2 linked regions of the Cricetulus griseus genome follow. The protein of the gene in region 1 interacts with the protein of each later gene in a pairwise test. Links are inferred from orthologs where the notes say so. Each region holds a gene or a part of one and is shown in the gene's direction. Other genes may lie near its edges. The genes, in order: Mapk14 and Dusp1.

Region 1 (8,693 bases):
CCCACATGGCTCACACATGGCTCACACACAGCTAGTGACTTCCCACCTGGATGGTGCAAATACAAAGCCTTCTGTCAGTAGGGGAAGCTGATCTGAACAGTGCTGGAGGTGGAGAGGCCAAGGCCAAAGGACCAGTCAGAGACCCTCAGTGTCACACGAGTCTAGGGACAGGTTAGTAGGTCATTTGGAAAAAACAGGAAAGAATGAAACCAACCGACCAACCCAACAAGCAAAGCCATGGAGCAAAGGTGGAGAGACAGGTGGAATGCTGCCTGTAATGTCTGGTCATATGTCTGCCTGAAGCACCCAGGGCAAACACATGACTTCTTTATTAGTTTCGTTAGAAGTCTCAGGAATTGCTCCAACTCCGTGACTCTCTGTATATGTGTTTGTGTGTGTGCATGTATGTGTGTGGTGTATGTGTGTCTGTGGCGTGTGTGTGTGTGTGTATGCATGTGTGGGGTGTATGTGTGTCTGTGGTTTGTGTGTGTGCATGTATGTGTGTGGTGTATGTGTGTCTGTGGCGTGTGTGTGTGTGTGTGTGTGTGTGTGTGTGTGTGTGCGCGCATGCATGTGTGGGGTGTATGTGTGTCTGTGGTGTTTTGTGTGTGTGCATGCATGTGTGGGGTGTATGTGTGTCTGTGGTGTGTTGTGTGTGTGCATGCATGCGTGTGGTGTATGTGTGTCTGTGGCATGTTTGTGTATGTGCATGCATGTGTGGGGTGTATGTGTGTCTGTGGTGTGTTTGTGTGTGTGCATGCATGTGTGGGGTGTATGTGTGTCTGTGGCGTGTTTGTGTGTGTGCAGGCGTGTGTGTGTGTGTGTGTGTGTGTGTGTGTGTGTGTGTGTGTGCATGTGTGGGATGTATGTGTGTCTGTGGTGTGTTGTGTATGTGCATGCATGCGTGTGGTGTATGTGTGTCTGTGGCATGTTTGTGTGTGTGCATGCATGTGTGGGGTGTATGTGTGTCTGTAGTGTGTTGTGTGTGCATGCATGCGTGTGGTGTATGTGTGTCTGTGGCATGTTTGTGTGTGTGCATGCATGTGTGGGGTGTATATGTGTGTCTGGTGTGTTTGTGTGTGTGCATGCATGTGTGGGGTGTATGTGTGTCTGTGGTGTGTTTGTGTGTGTGCATGCATGTATGGGGTGGGCACAGCGGCAGCGGCGGCAATAGCAGCAGCAGCGTGACTCTGGTACAGAGCAGCATATAAGGGTGCTATGATCTAAGCTAGTTATCTTGCTGGTCTTGGCTTTTTTAGTTTTTGAGACAGGATTTCACATAGTCTAGGGGGCCTTGAACTCCAATCCTCCTGCCCTATCAACCAAATGCTGAGATTACAGATGTATGTCATCATTCATGCCTTAATTCTTTTTTTTTTTTTTTCTTTTTGTGGTGGGAATGCACTTGAAGGCCTCACATGCTAGGATGCTCTACCCTGAGCTGTGGTCCCAGCCTTTAATTATCTTTAATCAGGCTCTCACTGCTACATTTAGAACACTATATTAAAACACAAGCACTTTAACCCAGCTCTTTCACAACTTCCACTGTCCTTATCCATCCATCCATCCACTGATTGATTCAAAGAATCTCCATTTGGAATATTTAAATGCAAAAAAAAAAAAGGTAGCCTGATATATAAGACCCAACAGACAAGAAGCCATGAAAACTAAGGTGTGAGAATGTCTTTCACTGATATAGTCATCTTTCAAGTTTCCTGTACCATTAGGCAAAGTTCACTTCCAATTTTTAAAAACAAGCGTGTGTCCAGGCGTTGGTGGTGCCGCCTTTAATCCCAGCACTCGGGAGGCAGAGTCAGGCGGATCTCTGTGAGTTCCAGGACAGCCTGGTCTACAGAGCCAGTGCCAGGACAGGCTCCAAAGCCACAGAGAAACCCTGTCTCGAAAAACCAAAACCAAAAATACAAAACAAACAAACAAACAAACAAAAACCAAAAACAAGCGTGTGTAATCCCAACCAAAACTACTCATTGCCTGTGACTCTCTCAGTTTTGATGGAGACTGTGCAGGATATGGCAAAGGTGTCAGCAAACTCCGTTGTGTAGTGGCAGGAGATAAGTGAAGGTGACAGCCCTCCAGCTGCTGACCACAGGTCACATAAACACCGGACACCTTCCTTTAGTGTTGCCAAGGGACAGATACTCATCACTGGGCAGAATGGAGAAGGCAAGCGGGGGCCCAATGCATAATCCATAAATAGGGATTTGACTGGAAGACAGACAAGGGGGAGAAGGGTGGAGCGCAAGATTCCGCCAGGCAGAACAAGGTGAGCAAAAGCAGTGAGGTTTGAAAGGATAAGGAGTCCTGGGCTGAGGCCCCGTGAGGACAGAAGGGATGGAAGTGGGGAGAGGCCCACAGACAATGAGAGGAGAGAACTTTGAGAGGACCCGGCCTGCAAAACCCACTTTGTCTCCTGCTGCTGTTTCAGGCTGCCTTTCTATCCCAGAGAGACGTTCCAGGGACTACCTCCACCCCTCCTTCCCTCCCTCCCTCCCTCCCTCCCACCCCCTCCATCCCTTCCACCCCTCCCTCCCTCCTTCCTACCCACCACCCCTCCCTCCCTCTCTCACCCCTCCCTCCACCATCCACCCACCCCCTCCCTCCCTCCCTCCCTCCCTCCTCCCTCCTCCCTCCCTCCCTCCCTCCCTTCATCCACCCATCATCCATCCATCCACTCGTAGCGCAAACAATCCAGAGTGCCCAGGACCCTCTGGGCCCTGCAGGTGACCCCACCAGCCCCGCCCTGGGACGCTCCGCTGCCTCTGGGCTCCCGGGCTGCAGCCAGAGCTCCCGATGGCTCCGGACCGAGGCTCACCTGGTTCCCGGTGGCGGGCGGGAGTCGCAGACGCTGGGGTCAGACTGGCTGGAGGCGGACGGACGCGGAGGCCGGCAGTTCCGAGCCGTTGCTGCAGAACCCGCGGGCGTTCCGGGGGTGCGGCGGGTGACGCGCAGGCTGGCGTGGACGGCACCCGGGCCAGGAGAAGGGTACCCGGCTGCGCAGCACACCCGGGCCGCGGGCACCCTGGGCATCCTCGGAAACGGCCTCTCCTCTGCTCAGACGAACGCAGAGAGGCGCGCACGGTCACGTTTATCTTCAGCTTCCAAGACGGGGGGATGCTTGACCTCTCGTGGGAAGTCGAGCCGGGGCCTCAGGTCAGCAGGTTTGTCTCCAAGCTGCGCTGCCAGAACTCGCTGCCCCGTTCCCCATGCGCCCGGGCGGGGATTAAGTCTTTAAAATTCTCTGAGTTCACATTCTTAGGAGTCTCCAAAGTTTCCTTTAAATCTCTACAGTCGGGATGGTTCTCATGGGCAGGAGTCAGGCTCAAACCCCAGGAATGGGTTTTGGGTGTTTCAGAAAAGCAGCCCAGGCTGCCTGCTAGCTACTCATTGCACAGCAGAGGCTGGGCTTCCTTCCAACTGCTGGGGTCACAGAGAGTAATAAATATATATTTATTACATTTATTTATTACATATATATATTTATTACATATATACATATATATTACATATATATAAATATATATAAATAAAATATATATAGTGTGTGTAAAATATTCATATACATTATATTCATATATATATGGAAGAGGAGACCTTCCTGGAATACAATGACCTACCAGCATGTGTGTGTGCATGTGTGTGCGCACATACGTGTGGTGTGTGTGAGCATGTGGTGCATGTGTGTGCGCGCATACGTGTGTGTGCGTGTGTGTGCACGTGTGTGCGCGCACGTGTGCGTGTCTGTGTGTGCATGTGCGCGCGCGTGTGTGTCTGTGTGTGCATGTGCGCGCGCATGTGTGTGTGTGTGGTGTGTGCATGTGTGTGCGTGCATACGTGTGTGTGCATTGTGTGCGCGCATACGTGTGTGTGTGCATGTGTGTGTGTGTGTGTGCATGTGTGTGCGCGCATGGGTACATACGTCCCTGTCCCTTCCAGCACAGGAATCGAACCCAGGACCTCGCAAATGCTACGCAGGCCCCGAGCCCGGCCGGCCCGGCCCCTGGAATTTGCTTCTGAAACGTCCAGGGCGGCTCTTCAGCCTGAGAAAACTGAAGGGGGCTCCTGGGCGTCTGGAGGGGCGGCCTGGGCTCCGGGGCAGGGGCAGCGAGCGTCCGTCCATCAGTCCGTCCGTCTGTCCGTCCGTCCGTCCCTGGGCAGCCAGGGGCCGGCAGCTTTGCCGCCCTGGCGCCAGCGCTCGCCCAGCCGACCACAGCGAGGCGCGCGCGGCACGCGCTGCGCCCTCCCCGTCCGCCCCGCGCTCCTCCCCGCGCTCCTCCCCGCGCTCCTCCTCTCCGTCCGCCCCGCGCTCCTCCCCGCGCTCCTCCCCGCGCTCCTCCTCTCCGTCCGCCCCGCGCTCCTCCCCGCGCTCCTCCTCCCCGTCCTCCTCCGCCCCGCGCTCCTCCGCGCGCTCCTCTCTCCCGTCCGCCCCGCGCTCCTCCCCGCGCTCCTCCTCCGTCCTCTCCATCCTCCCCGCGCTCCTCCTCCGAGAGCCCCTGCCCCGAAGCCCTGCCAGCCCCGCCCGCTCCGTGTTCTCGCGAGAGGCGCCGCCTCCGGCGCGCTCGCAGCGGCCCCTCCCACGGGCGGGTTCCGTATTGGGTAAGATCCCGGCGGGGCGGGGCGGGGCGGTCGGACGGGGCGGGGCCGTGGGCGCGGGCGGGACGGGGCGTTGTTCTCGCGAGACTTCCGCGAGAGGCTCCGGTCGTTGCCGGGAGGAGCGCGGCGGCCGGAGCCAGCCCACGGGAGCCCGGGCGGGCGGGCGGCGCTGCAGCGCTGCGAGCGGGAGTCGTGCGGCGTCGGCGCGGCGCGGCTGCAGCGCAGCGGCGGGAGCAGCCTCGAGCCGCACAGCCGGCTCCCGCGCGTGCCCGCGGCTCTGACAGGGGCCGCGGCGTCCAGCCAGCCCCGCGCGGGCGAGCGGCGGGCGAGCGGCGGGCGAGCGCCGAGGACAGACAGCGTGCGGCTGCAGGCAGCGGCCCCGGCCGCCGCTGGAAGATGTCTCAGGAGAGGCCCACGTTCTACCGGCAGGAGCTGAACAAGACCATCTGGGAGGTGCCCGAGCGCTACCAGAACCTGTCCCCGGTGGGCTCGGGCGCCTACGGCTCGGTGTGGTGAGTGTCGCCGGGCCTGGGGTCCGGGGACGCCGGAGCCGGCGGGGCGGCCCTGCCTGCGTGCCTGCGTGCGAGCCTCCGTGCGTGCGAGCGTGCGAGCCTGAGGCCCGGCCTGTGCCCGCGGCTCCGCGATGCGCCCAGCGGCAGGAATTCTGCCCCGGCCGGGCCCTGCACCCCTCACTCACCCACCCGGGTGCAGCCGCGCGGGCTCCACCCTGCGCCCCTCCCGGGCTCCCTCCGCAGCCCCGCAGCCCCGGGAGAGCGGGCGAGCCAGCCGGGCGGAGCCTCTGCGAGGAGCGGCAGGGCACACAGCCTGACCCCGCGACTGCGGTCACCGGAACGAAACTTGCAAGAAAAAAAAAAAAAAAGCGCTCCCTTCCCGGATTTTTGTTTTTGTTTTTTCCTTTTTCTTGCAAGACTCCATCTGGAGGGGGGACAAATCTGGCTCCGGAAGCGTTCTTTGGGAATTAGCACATGAATTAGCAGCACCCCGAAGAGCCTAGAATGCTGACTTTATCTCGGCGAGCGCGGTGCCAGCTTGCGTGCTGTGTTTCCGATTCGGTTGAAAGCGTATTTCCTTTTCGGGGCGGGAGGGTGGCAGCGCCTGCAAGGACGCCACCGCTCGCCGCTTAGTCACACACCACTGCTCATTTCAGTGTTGCTCCACAAATCAGTTTTCCCATGCGGGCCACAGGGACTCCAGATCAAGTGATCGGAGGTGTAAATAGCTTTTTAGTTGAAATAATTCCTGGGATGCTTTTCTTTAAGTCCCTTTGAAGATTTGTAGGGGCGCGCTATCAGCTTGCTTTTTTTTTTTTTTTCCCAGGGCTGAGGGACGTGGCTTTGGTGAGAGCAAAGGAAACAATGTTTCTCAGCTGTCATTCACACCGTGATTCTTGATTCTTTGTTGTTCATTTGAGACTTTGTATGTCCCTGGCTGCCCTGAACTTCACTCTTCTGGCTGGCCTGGAATAAAGGCTTTTACCACCTTTGCAAGGCCCTGGGAGTGGGTTTCAAATTAAATCCATACTATAAAATATCCACTCCAGAAGTGATTAGGAACTCTCCAGGGTTCATACAGTGTCTTTTAGGCTTAGTGTCTTCTTAGAGCTCTGGTTCTTGAGGTTCAACAGCTTAGCTCTTCACGTGCTTTAGTAATTTATATACACTCCTGTTTTCGAAGGTTTGTGAAATGGTTTGTTTTGTAACAAATTCCAGGGTTCTGCATGTGTTAATCTTTAGGTATGAGTCCTGTGTTACTTAAAGTCACACCATGAATTTCCTGTTTGGTAGAACCTTCTGGGTAATTGAGATTGTGCAATAGTGTCCAGCAACAGATCATATTGCATTTGTTGGCGCAAGCTGCTTAAGTTATGTTGCAGATGGCACCAACCCTGACGTCTTTCTCCCATGTCTACAGAATGGCAGTTCACACATCTGTCATGTGTATTTGCGACTGTTATCTTCATTCTCTAATATTTAATAGCTCATTAGCATACCTCAGTCCGTCATTCCTAATTGTTAGAGTATCAGGCTTTGCTTTCCATTTGAATGTTCAGGGAGTGGTGAAACAGAGTATCTCCACTGTAGGCCATCTGGGTGGGTGAACTTGCAAGGTTTCCTATGGACACTGCTGTCCTGGCCGAAGAGCCAGGTTTGCAATGAAGTTCAGTGGTGAAGTGCCATTAAAACTACGCTCACTTCCTCTGGTGCTGTTCTTTTCTATGAAATAGAATTCAGCACCACCTCACAGTTGGAAAGGACTTGTACCAAACAGCTTCTTAAAAGTAGGTGATACAGGGCAGGGCGGTGGTGGCACACACCTTTAATCCCAGCACTGGGGAGGCTGAGGCAGGCGGATCTCTGTGAGTTCGAGGCCAGCCTGGTCTCCAGAGCGAGTGCCAGGATAGGCTCCAAAGCTACACAGAGAAACCCTGTCTTGGTCTTGAAAAACCAAAAAAAGTATGTGATACAGGACCAGTGATGTAACTCATACTACAGCCCCTGGTCTTGCATATGGGAGGCCCTGCATTCCATCCCCAGCAATACACAAACAACACAAAGCAACTCATTAGCAACTCATTATGTATAAAATGTAAAAAGGTATGCAGCAGGAAGCCTTCTGTTTCTGTTCCCCAGCCCTGTTTTCTCTTCCTTCAGTGACAACCGCTATTCGGTTCCTTGCATGTCTTTTTCAGAGACGAAGAGTTTGTACCAGAGATGTAAGGTGTAGCCTATAACCTGTCGATGGGGGAAAAGACAGCTGAAATTGTACATGATGACTGAGCAAATAACTCTCTCAAGTTATTTGAAGCTGGGTTTTTTTTTTTTTGAGGATTTATTTATTTTATATATGTGTGGGTATTTTGCTTACACACATATATGTGCACCCCATGAATGCTTGGTGCCATGGAGACCCTGGAACTGGAGTTACAGACAGTTGTGAGCTGCCATGTGGGTGATGGGAATTGAACCTGGGTCCTCTACAGGAGCACTGACCACTGAATCATTTCTTCAGGCCTAAAGTTGTGTTTTCAGTTAGCTTTTTGGGTACAACTGAAAACACCTTTTGAATTTCTTTCTTTTCTTTTTCTCCATCCCCCTCCCCCGCCCCCAAGACAGGATTTCTCTGTGTAGCCCTGGCTGTCCTGGGACTCTCTCTGTAGACCTGGCTGGCCTCAAACTCACAGAGATCCACCTGCCTCTCTGCCTGACTAGGAGAATTAAAGGTGTATGCCACCATGCCTGACTTCTTGAAATTCTTTTTTAACCCACTTGGTGGCTTGTGTTCCCATTCTCCACTCTGATCCTCCGAGACAGTTTGATATCGGAAAACAGTGATGTCCATTTGAATGCAAGTGACTGAGGGGGATTCAGACTGAAGCCTTGAAAGGAGAGAAGGCAGTCCAGTTGGCAACACTGGGTTACACTTATAATATCACAGCATTTTTTAATATGGCTTATTGAGCTGGCCCTGAGGTCTCTGGATAAAGGAATCTTGGTATGGGACATGGTACACTTTGATGTGTAGCGCTTTTTTTTTTAAGCTCAAGCCTATATTTTAATTTGCACTATGTAGTGAACAGCAGTGACAAAAAAGTAGCGCTCTGTATTGTGCAGTAACCAACTATGAATCAAAGATCAATGAAAGACCAGAAAGTTGAGGGCTGATAGAGCTACACAGTATCTTTCTTTCAAAAAGAGCAAAAGGAACTAAACTAAGTCTTCAAGTTTAAGGAACTTTGTTCATTGTCTGTAGAGGGAAATGAAGCAAAATTGTCTAAGACCACATTGTTGCAATGCATTGATTTTGTGGTTTGGGACATAGGGGAAAATCTCTGTGGTGAATTTAAGGAAATACAAACAGGAACTTCGGTGCCTTCCCTCTGGGGAAGGGGTCTTTCTAGGCCCTTGCTGAGCACACTTGGACACTGCATTGGGAGTGAGGATTGAGAGTCACTTCCAGATCATCTGTAGCCATTTGTTCGTCAGTATTTATTACATACCACCAAGTAGTGGCTGGGTGCAGAAGACAGTTCGCTTTGTCATCGGACTTGCAGAGGAATGAGT
Region 2 (8,693 bases), on another chromosome or scaffold:
AGCTGTGTGACCCTGGGCATGTCCCTTATCTGAGCTTAGCGACCACCCCTTTCCAGGACTGTGTCAGGAGGCGACACCTGTAAAGCACCTGGCACTGAAGAATGCTTTGCGTTCACTGGTGTTCTTAAAGATACTCTGCTATGTCACAGACTGTGGGCCTACTATGTGCTGGGCATTGCCACAGAGGAGAAAAGCACAGGCAAGCCCTGCAGCTAGCATGTCTGCAGTCCAGTGGTGTAGGACAGGGGTGAAGTGGGAGGGGAAGGGAGAGGGAGATGGGGGAAGTCAGATGAGTCTCCATTTGCTTAGATAGTCCCTTTGTAGGTCTGCAGGGGAGAAGAGTGTTGGGGAGCTCAGAAGACAGGGAAAGGAGGGCAATGTGGGCAAAGCTGTGTGGGTGGGAAAGGCCTAGAATATTCGAAGAACACAGGCTCACTGAGTTTTCTTGGAACCCATGAGCAAAATCAAAGCAAGTGGGAGCCAGCCAGAAGGCCAAGGAAACGGGGAGACCCAGGCAGAGGGCTGTTGTGGGAAATGGGAGTCACAGAAGGTTACTGAACAAGAGGAGTCTTGAGGCTTGCATTTGGAATGTGCCCCCAAAGTCTCACGTATTGAGAGCCTAGTCCCGGCTGCAGCAGTGCTCAGGGAGAAACTTTGGGGTAGTGACGCTCTTCTCATCGATGGATATGATGGTGTGCTCAGAGTTTGGGGGACTATCGGGCAGAGGTGGGAACTGTAGAGGGGCCTTGCTGAAGGGAGTGGGTCCTTGTGGCCACTCTTGCCTTCCTTGCCTCTTTTCTCTGCTTTGAACTCCCTACATCTTTCCTCCCCACAGGCCACTGTGATGATGCTCGGCGACCCATCATGGGCTGGCGCCTCAGTTCCTCTCTTAAGTTGTTTATCTCAGGTATTTTATCACAGTGCCAGAAAGCTGACTGACACAAGGGGAGTCAAGGGGAAAGAGGGATGGGCATTTACCCCTCTCCTGGGAGCAATTCTTCTGCAGGGATCCCACCAGGCCTTTCTCCCACCATTTAATTTAGTTCTAGATGGCCATTATTCCCAGTTTATAAATATGGAAACTGAGGCTCAGGAGAGTAAGTCACTTGCCTAATGTTATGGAGGAGACCATGAGCAAGGAGCACTTTTAGTCAGTAGTGGGAGCTTCTTTCCCCTTTCCCTTTTGACCCCAAAACAGATCCTAAATGAACTCTGAAAGGGTCTGACAGGTTCATAGGCTTGTGCCAACCCTGTGCACTGAATGTCCCCACCGGACCCAGATAGAAACTGATGCTCTTCTCCACAGTCACAGGGAGGTGCAGCAAGGTGAAGTGACTGATGAGACACACAGAAAGAGGGGAGGCAGGCTAAGACTTTTGGCGGCTTTTTCCCACCCCACCTTCCTGTAGAGTTGTTCTAAGCACACCTGGAATTATGAAGTTCTCAGGCCAGTGAGGCCCAGCCTCTCCCAGAGTTCACATCTACTGACTCACCTGCTCTGGGCCCTCAGCAGCTAAGCACATAGCACAAGCTGCTTACCCTTCCAACTCTGCTGAAAGAAGCCTATCTGGTTCTGCTCCCTGTCACCAGGGCATTCTCACTGCCTGGACTGGGACCTTGGGTGGCTAGACCTTTGCTAACTCTTTCTGAACAAGTGGATCCTAGAATAAGTCCCTTGTGGTACACAAGAGCTTTCTCTCAGCTGGAGCTCCAACCAGTTGAGGCTTCTAGGAGTCTCTCAAGACCCACCTGAAGATACCAGCTAAGGCTCTGATGCCAGATTCTGAAACACACAGCCCAGGGGGCCTCATGATATAAGAATCACAGCCGGGAAGGGGAAAAACAGAGTCAGTGACTCAGGAGGGGAAAGGTCCCAGTGTCCTGCCCCTCCTGCTTTACAAGGGAATGTCACCAAGCCATGCTGCATGGTATCCATTGTACAGATACTGCCTTGAAGGCTCAACAGAAAAGAGAACGGCTGGCTCTCCAACAGTCAACTTTCCCCCGGGTTCCAGCCCACTTTTTATGCTTCTTCCAGGGAGGGAAGAGAGCAGAACTCCACGGGGACCAGCAGACATTTAACTTCAGTACCAGACCATGCCACTGCATTTGTATAAATAGGTCGTTTAGAAAACTTTGGATATAGAAAGATACAATGGATAGCCTTGATATATATATATATATATATATATATATATATATATATATGAAAAAATGAAGTTGGTATGCAGTTCGTAACAGCAGCAGCTGTAACATTTTATGATTCAACACAAAAATATGTTGAGGTTCTCAGCTGAATAAGTGGAATAAATAATTTTTTTTTCTTTCTGTCGCTGAGATGCAGGGAGGGTGGTGTTATCTGACTCCTTTGCTGCTCTTTTAGATCAAGGCTCATAGGAAGGTAAAATGCCCTTCAAAAATAAAGTACCCCGAATTTACAAAGAATCTAGGCAGAACGCAAGAGCTAGGGGAGGCCAAAGTGGACAGACGTTGCAGAGCAACAACATTTGGTGACCGGTAATACACCTCCCCCTAGTAGAGAGGAAGAAACCGCAGAATGTTCCTGACTCGGCGCCCCTGCGGAGTGGTGCAATGTTTATGTTTATGTATCCAACTCCGTGGTGTCGTGGTTGGGGCTCCCGGCCCCAATTTGGGGAAAGGACACAGACCCCATTGGGGTCTTCCTGGGTGCCAAGGTACAGGTCTTGGCAATACTCCTAAGGCGCCTTGGGATTGGATTAGGAGTTCAGCCACTCTGGATTACCAGGACCTGGGTTTGTCGGGTAGAGTTTGGCCTCCATAGGAGCGGATTCCAAGGCCCCAGCCATGGGTCGTTAGTGCGCCCAGCTTCTGTTCAATACAGATGAAGAGCCAGGTTTGGGGGTGCATGCCGTTAACCTCAGCACTGGCGAGGCAGGGGCAGGAGGATCTCTGTGAGTTCAATGCCAGCCAGGGCTACAAAACAACACCCTGTCTCAAAACAAAACAAAAGTTGTTTGTACCCGCACGCGCACGCGCGCGCGCATGAGGAGGAGTCGGGGAGCAGCAACCTCTGGAGCCACGCTACAAAGTGCTTGGTGGTCCCTGGGCGGCGCTGTCGAGCCCTGTCCAGATCGCCCCAAATGCCAAACCTGGGCTCCACACCCGATCTTTCAACCCTTCCATTCTTGGCTCCAAGTCCTCTAAAGACCACCGCGGCAGGGATAACATTCTGGTAGGGGGCTGCCTGGAGGTACTTTCCCATGTTCGTCGTAAAACAGTTTAAAGTGACACTAGAGAAGGACGCCTCGACTCTTGCCATTTGTCCTCTGTAAAGCCACAGGGTTTACCGAGTTGATCACCTCTCTCTACCCCTTCCCCTTCCCCGCTCCGCTCGCCCGGGCCAATACCCCAACAGCGGGAGCAGGACCAGTTGAGACCGTAGTCCCAGCAGTGCTCCTACGCTCTCGGCGGAGACCCGGGGAGGGGAGCCGGGCAGGTGTCCCCGGGCGTGTCCTTAGGCCGCGCGTCCTGACCACCCGGGCTGGCAGCGCGCAGTCCTGCCAGCGGGGCCGGCGGACAGCAGGGTGGGGGCCGGGCGGTGAGCCAGCGTGCAAAGCCGACCCGCTCCCAGGCCGATGACGTCTTTGCCTTTGGCTTCGGCGGCGCCAAGCCCGGCAGGGTGGGTGACGTCACCAACATGTCACGTGATCGCCATTCAAACAAACAAACCGTTCCCCCTCCTCCGGCGCCGCGCCCGGGACCGCCCCCGAGAGGCCACATAAAACCGCGCTCCCAGAGCTGAGCGCGCAGCGAAGGACTGGCGGGCGGGACGCACAGTGAAACTAGATTCAGAGCAGCGAGCACTTGGGGACTTAGGGCCACAAGGATACCGCGTCGGACCGACAGATTGTTTTTGGAGGGCCGCGGGACGGGCACGCTGGGGTCGCTGGGGCTGGCCATGGTGATGGAGGTGGGCATCCTGGACGCCGGAGGGCTGCGCGCGTTGTTGCGAGAGCGCGCTGCGCAGTGCCTGCTGCTGGACTGCCGCTCCTTCTTCGCCTTCAACGCCGGCCACATCGCGGGCTCGGTGAACGTGCGCTTTAGCACCATCGTGCGGCGCCGCGCCAAGGGCGCCATGGGCCTGGAGCATATCGTGCCCAACGCCGAGCTGCGCGGCCGCCTGCTGGCCGGCGCCTACCACGCAGTGGTGCTTTTGGACGAGCGCAGCGTCGCCCTGGAGGGCGCCAAGCGCGACGGCACCCTAGCCCTAGCTGCGGGCGCGCTCTGCCGAGAAGCACGCACCACTCAAGTCTTCTTCCTCCAAGGTACGCGCTCGTTCTGGCAGGACCTCTGCCATTAGCTGGGAAAGGGTCGTCCCACCTGGAGTGCCCGTGTCCAGTCTCCAGGGACTTGTCACTGGCTTTGTTTGGCTCCAGGAACAAAGACTTCCCTGAGCCTTCTATGTAAACTCGCATCCTCTGGTGGGTGGGTGACTTGTCTCCAGGTACTGTGTCGGTGATGCTAATGGGAAAATGTGTTCCTTTGTGTTCTCAGGAGGATATGAAGCGTTTTCGGCTTCCTGCCCCGAGCTGTGCAGCAAACAGTCCACCCCCATGGGGCTCAGCCTCCCCCTGAGTACTAGTGTCCCTGACAGCGCAGAATCCGGATGCAGCTCCTGTAGCACCCCTCTCTACGATCAGGTTAGTAAGAGTCCCCGTCTATGTGGGGGGGTGGGAGGGGGTGGCAGAGGTCTGGAAGGGCTGTGTCAGGGAGAATACAGAAAGTGGCTGCAGCTTTAGTTATACTTGAGGGGACATGGGAATTTTTATTCCACAGTGAAGCGATTGGATGGAGCTGAGTCTCCCAGTTGCTGGCATATAAGAGCTTGTTGGCTCTGTCCAAGCCAATGGACCTAATTCTTTATTATTATTTTAATATGCCGTCTATGCTGAGGTCACCAGTGTCTGAAACTCCCTTTTTCAGTAGGGAGTTTTTGTGGGTGTGGGTACTCTGTTAACTCTGAACAAGCTTGATGAATGCTGGACTGTTTTTGGATTCCAGGGGGGCCCAGTGGAGATCCTGTCCTTCCTGTACCTGGGCAGTGCCTATCATGCTTCCCGGAAGGACATGCTTGACGCCTTGGGCATCACTGCCTTGATCAACGTCTCGGCCAATTGTCCTAACCACTTTGAGGGTCACTACCAGTACAAGAGCATTCCTGTGGAGGACAACCACAAGGCTGACATCAGCTCCTGGTTCAACGAGGCAATTGACTTCATAGGTAAATGAAGGTGTCTGGGACTTCTGCTTTCTGTCCTCACTGTAACCATTGAGTCCAGCCTCTTGGGTGATGGCTTGATTGACCCTCACCTGAGCCTTCTTCCTCACGAGTAGCAAAGCCAGACTCAGATAGCTGAACTGACTGACTTGCCCAGGATTATAAGTGGAAATACCTAGTCTGGGTTTAAATCCCTTGCTATCCCTTACACAATGCACATACGAAGTCCATATGATAGCACGAAGCTGATCCTTAGCCATATCTGGACAGGTCACACGAGACATTTCTTAGACATTTGACCTGGGCTTGGGCTGGTCTCCTGAATTTTTGAGTAACCCACCACTTTGTTTTCCAGACTCCATCAAGGATGCTGGAGGGAGAGTATTTGTCCATTGCCAGGCCGGCATCTCCCGGTCAGCCACCATCTGCCTTGCTTACCTCATGAGGACTAACCGAGTGAAACTGGACGAGGCCTTTGAATTTGTGAAGCAGAGGCGGAGTATCATCTCTCCTAACTTTAGCTTCATGGGCCAGCTGCTGCAATTTGAGTCCCAGGTGCTGGCCCCGCACTGCTCTGCTGAAGCTGGGAGTCCTGCCATGGCTGTCCTTGACCGGGGCACCTCCACCACCACTGTCTTCAACTTCCCCGTCTCCATCCCCGTCCACCCCACGAACAGTGCCCTGAACTATCTTCAGAGCCCCATCACGACCTCCCCCAGCTGCTGAAGGGCCAGGGGAGGTGTGGATATTCTCGTGCCACCGGGACGCCACTCCTCCCATGGGAGGAGCAATGCAATAACTCTGGGAGAGACTCATTTGAGCTGGTCCTTATTTATTTAAGCCCTACCCCCTCCCCTCCCGAGTTCCACTGGGTTCCTAAGCAGTCATAATAATGACTACTGCAAGACATTTGCTGAACTCAGCATTCGGGTCCAATATGTTGTGGGTACATCAAGTCCCTCTGACAAAGCAGGGCAGAAGAGAAAGGACTCTGAGCCAGTTTCTTCACTTGCCCATTTTTTTTTTTTCTAGAAACTTCATGCTTGACATACCTACCAGTATTAACCATTCCCGACGACATACACGTATGAGAATTTTACCTTATTTATTTTTGTGTAGGTGGTCTGCCTTCACAAATGTCAGTGTCTACTCATAGAAGAACCAAATACCTCAATTTTTGTGTTTGCGTACTGTACTATCTTGTAAATAGACCCAGGGCAGGTTTGGTTTCAACACTGGTGGACAAAACCGGTGTTGGTTTGTAGTTTTTAGTTGTCAACAGTTGTATGTTTGCTGATTATTTATGACCTGAAGTAATATATTTCTTCTTCTAAGAAGACATTTTGTTACTAGGATGACTTTTTTTTATACAACAGAATAAATTATGACGTTTCTATTGAGCTCTTGATGATTCGTTTCTTTGGCAACCCTACTCTTGAGCAAGTATCATAGTGAAAAATTGAACCAGCACTGCTAGGATGTGTGTGGGGTCTGATCCTGTACCTCTTTGGTGACCCATGGGTTCCACAAGATGACTAGGTTGCCACAGAGGCATGCAGGTGAAGTGTATGAAATACTAGGGGCTGTTACCCAGATCTTAGTATAGGGTCAAGGTGTACCAACAGTCAACATCATCTGCCATGTCACCCCAGGAGCTCGAGTGTCCCCAGAACCATTTGCCTTAATTAACTTTTTTTTTTCATTAACATCGTTGGGAATCATGGACAAGATCTCCCCTCCCTGAGCTATTTGCAGAATGCCCAGGTTAATGTGTTCTTAATGTGTATGCACAGCATGGGATTAGCCTCTCCTCAGAGAGACTCTGGTGCTGTACAGGTGAGGATGTGAGGCTCCAAGTAGCTGAGCAGCTGGATCAGGGGATTAGGCACTGCATTTTGTTTTCTAATCCTATGACCTGTGAACTTTGTCACTTGTCTATAACATATAGTCAGTTTGCTTTGGACAATGCTTTTATAGCTTTAAAAATAATGCATCAAATGAAAAACAAATCCAAGTACTAAATGCATGTACAGGGAAGAAATTACTTGCACCTCCCCTGCTAGTTTTTGGAGGGTGTGCATACCAACCTCTGCATAGAAACAACATTTTTGGCAACTGTCTCCTTCAGATCACTTGCTACTCTACATACCTGTGTTGAAGACATAGGCAATTATGTCAGACTTGCTTTAGGGCAGGACTCTGGATTTTCACCCCTGCCAAGCAGGCTAAGGCTGGGAAGGTATAATTGAATACCAACCCATAAATCCAGTCTGTAATGTCAAATGGCATAACAGCAAAGCCCTTGGGTTCCTGGCCCCTGTGTGCCCACTTTTCTGCCTCCTATTTGTAGAGTAAGTGCTGCTCTATGTAGAAAAGGAAGCGTCCCATCCATATTTTCTAGAATTGGCTGGTGCCATGATCCTCACGCAGACCCATTGTTCAAGCCTTGACACAGAACTTGCCCTTGACCTCTTCCTGCCTGCCACTTGGCATCCAGGTCTGAAGATCCTTGTGTTCTAAGACAGAAAAACTTATCCTGGGCTGGCAAGCTCATATCCTTGGCTGGGTTTTGGACAAGTATATTCATGCCTTCAAAACAAACCAGATGCATTATTTTTATCAAGCCCTAGATATTTGCTATTGTGAATTGTTCCCTGCGTGGAAATGTACCAGCAATGGCGATTCCGTGGCAGATTCGGAGACTGCCTTTCCCGTGGGCCAGAGTCTCTGCTTTCAACTTGGCAGTCACTGGCTGAACCCAAATTAGTCTCCAGTGTGATCCAGTCAATGGAAAAATACAGAGGCTACCTCAGGGAGCTGCCAGGGAAAACAATTCACTCACTTCTTGACTTTCTAGCTGCTCACCTCACAGCCCAGACAAGAAGCTACCCCTCTCACAGGTCACCTTTGCTCAGGTCCTCTAGAAAACATCATGCTTGGGACAAAAATCAGTATGTCAGGATGAAAAGAAAGTATTAAAATATTAGTTTCCCAGAGAGAGTTGATATGGACCCTACTTAATTACTTAAGGCTTACCCAGTAGTGACAGCTATCAGTTTGGGGGCTGCCACTGAGTTCCAAGGTCCACCACATGTTTCGCTTGTGTTCACAGTCTTTAACATCACATCCATTTCCCAGAGGAGGAGGCAAGGCTGCAGATTCAGTGTTCTACCATAAGTAGATGGTCTTGCTGGAGTCTCAGTGAAGACTGGCCTAAGTTGCTAAACAAGAGTTTTGTAGCCTTCTGTGTTCTGCATGGTTTTACCCCTGAATTTTTGGGTGGAAAAACTATACCCCTCAAGGCCCCAGTTTCTTCCTCCAAGCAACAAAGAGTGACTGGCGTATTGACTGAGGGCTGTAGAGCAGCAACTAGATCCCCTTGTCCCCAATGACGTCTGGTTTTCCCACCCTATGAAATGACCAGTTTGCCCTG

Evidence for each region.
Region 2: the proteins of Mapk14 (region 1) and Dusp1 interact in binary tests that used the Homo sapiens proteins (3 or more experiments, as listed by UniProt). The link is inferred for Cricetulus griseus from reciprocal best matches to the Homo sapiens genes MAPK14 and DUSP1.

Annotation. Positions count from the first base shown.
Region 1 is NW_023276806.1:233,798,145-233,806,837, forward strand, and holds the start of Mapk14 (mitogen-activated protein kinase 14), read left to right. Parts: upstream 1-4,836; 5' UTR 4,837-5,007; coding exon 5,008-5,123; intron 5,124-8,693. UniProt on the Homo sapiens protein: Serine/threonine kinase which acts as an essential component of the MAP kinase signal transduction pathway.
Region 2 is NC_048600.1:47,297,227-47,305,919, forward strand, and holds Dusp1 (dual specificity protein phosphatase 1), read left to right. Parts: upstream 1-3,770; 5' UTR 3,771-3,940; coding exon 3,941-4,307; intron 4,308-4,536; coding exon 4,537-4,682; intron 4,683-5,043; coding exon 5,044-5,263; intron 5,264-5,615; coding exon 5,616-5,986; 3' UTR 5,987-6,660; downstream 6,661-8,693. UniProt on the Homo sapiens protein: Dual specificity phosphatase that dephosphorylates MAP kinase MAPK1/ERK2 on both 'Thr-183' and 'Tyr-185', regulating its activity during the meiotic cell cycle.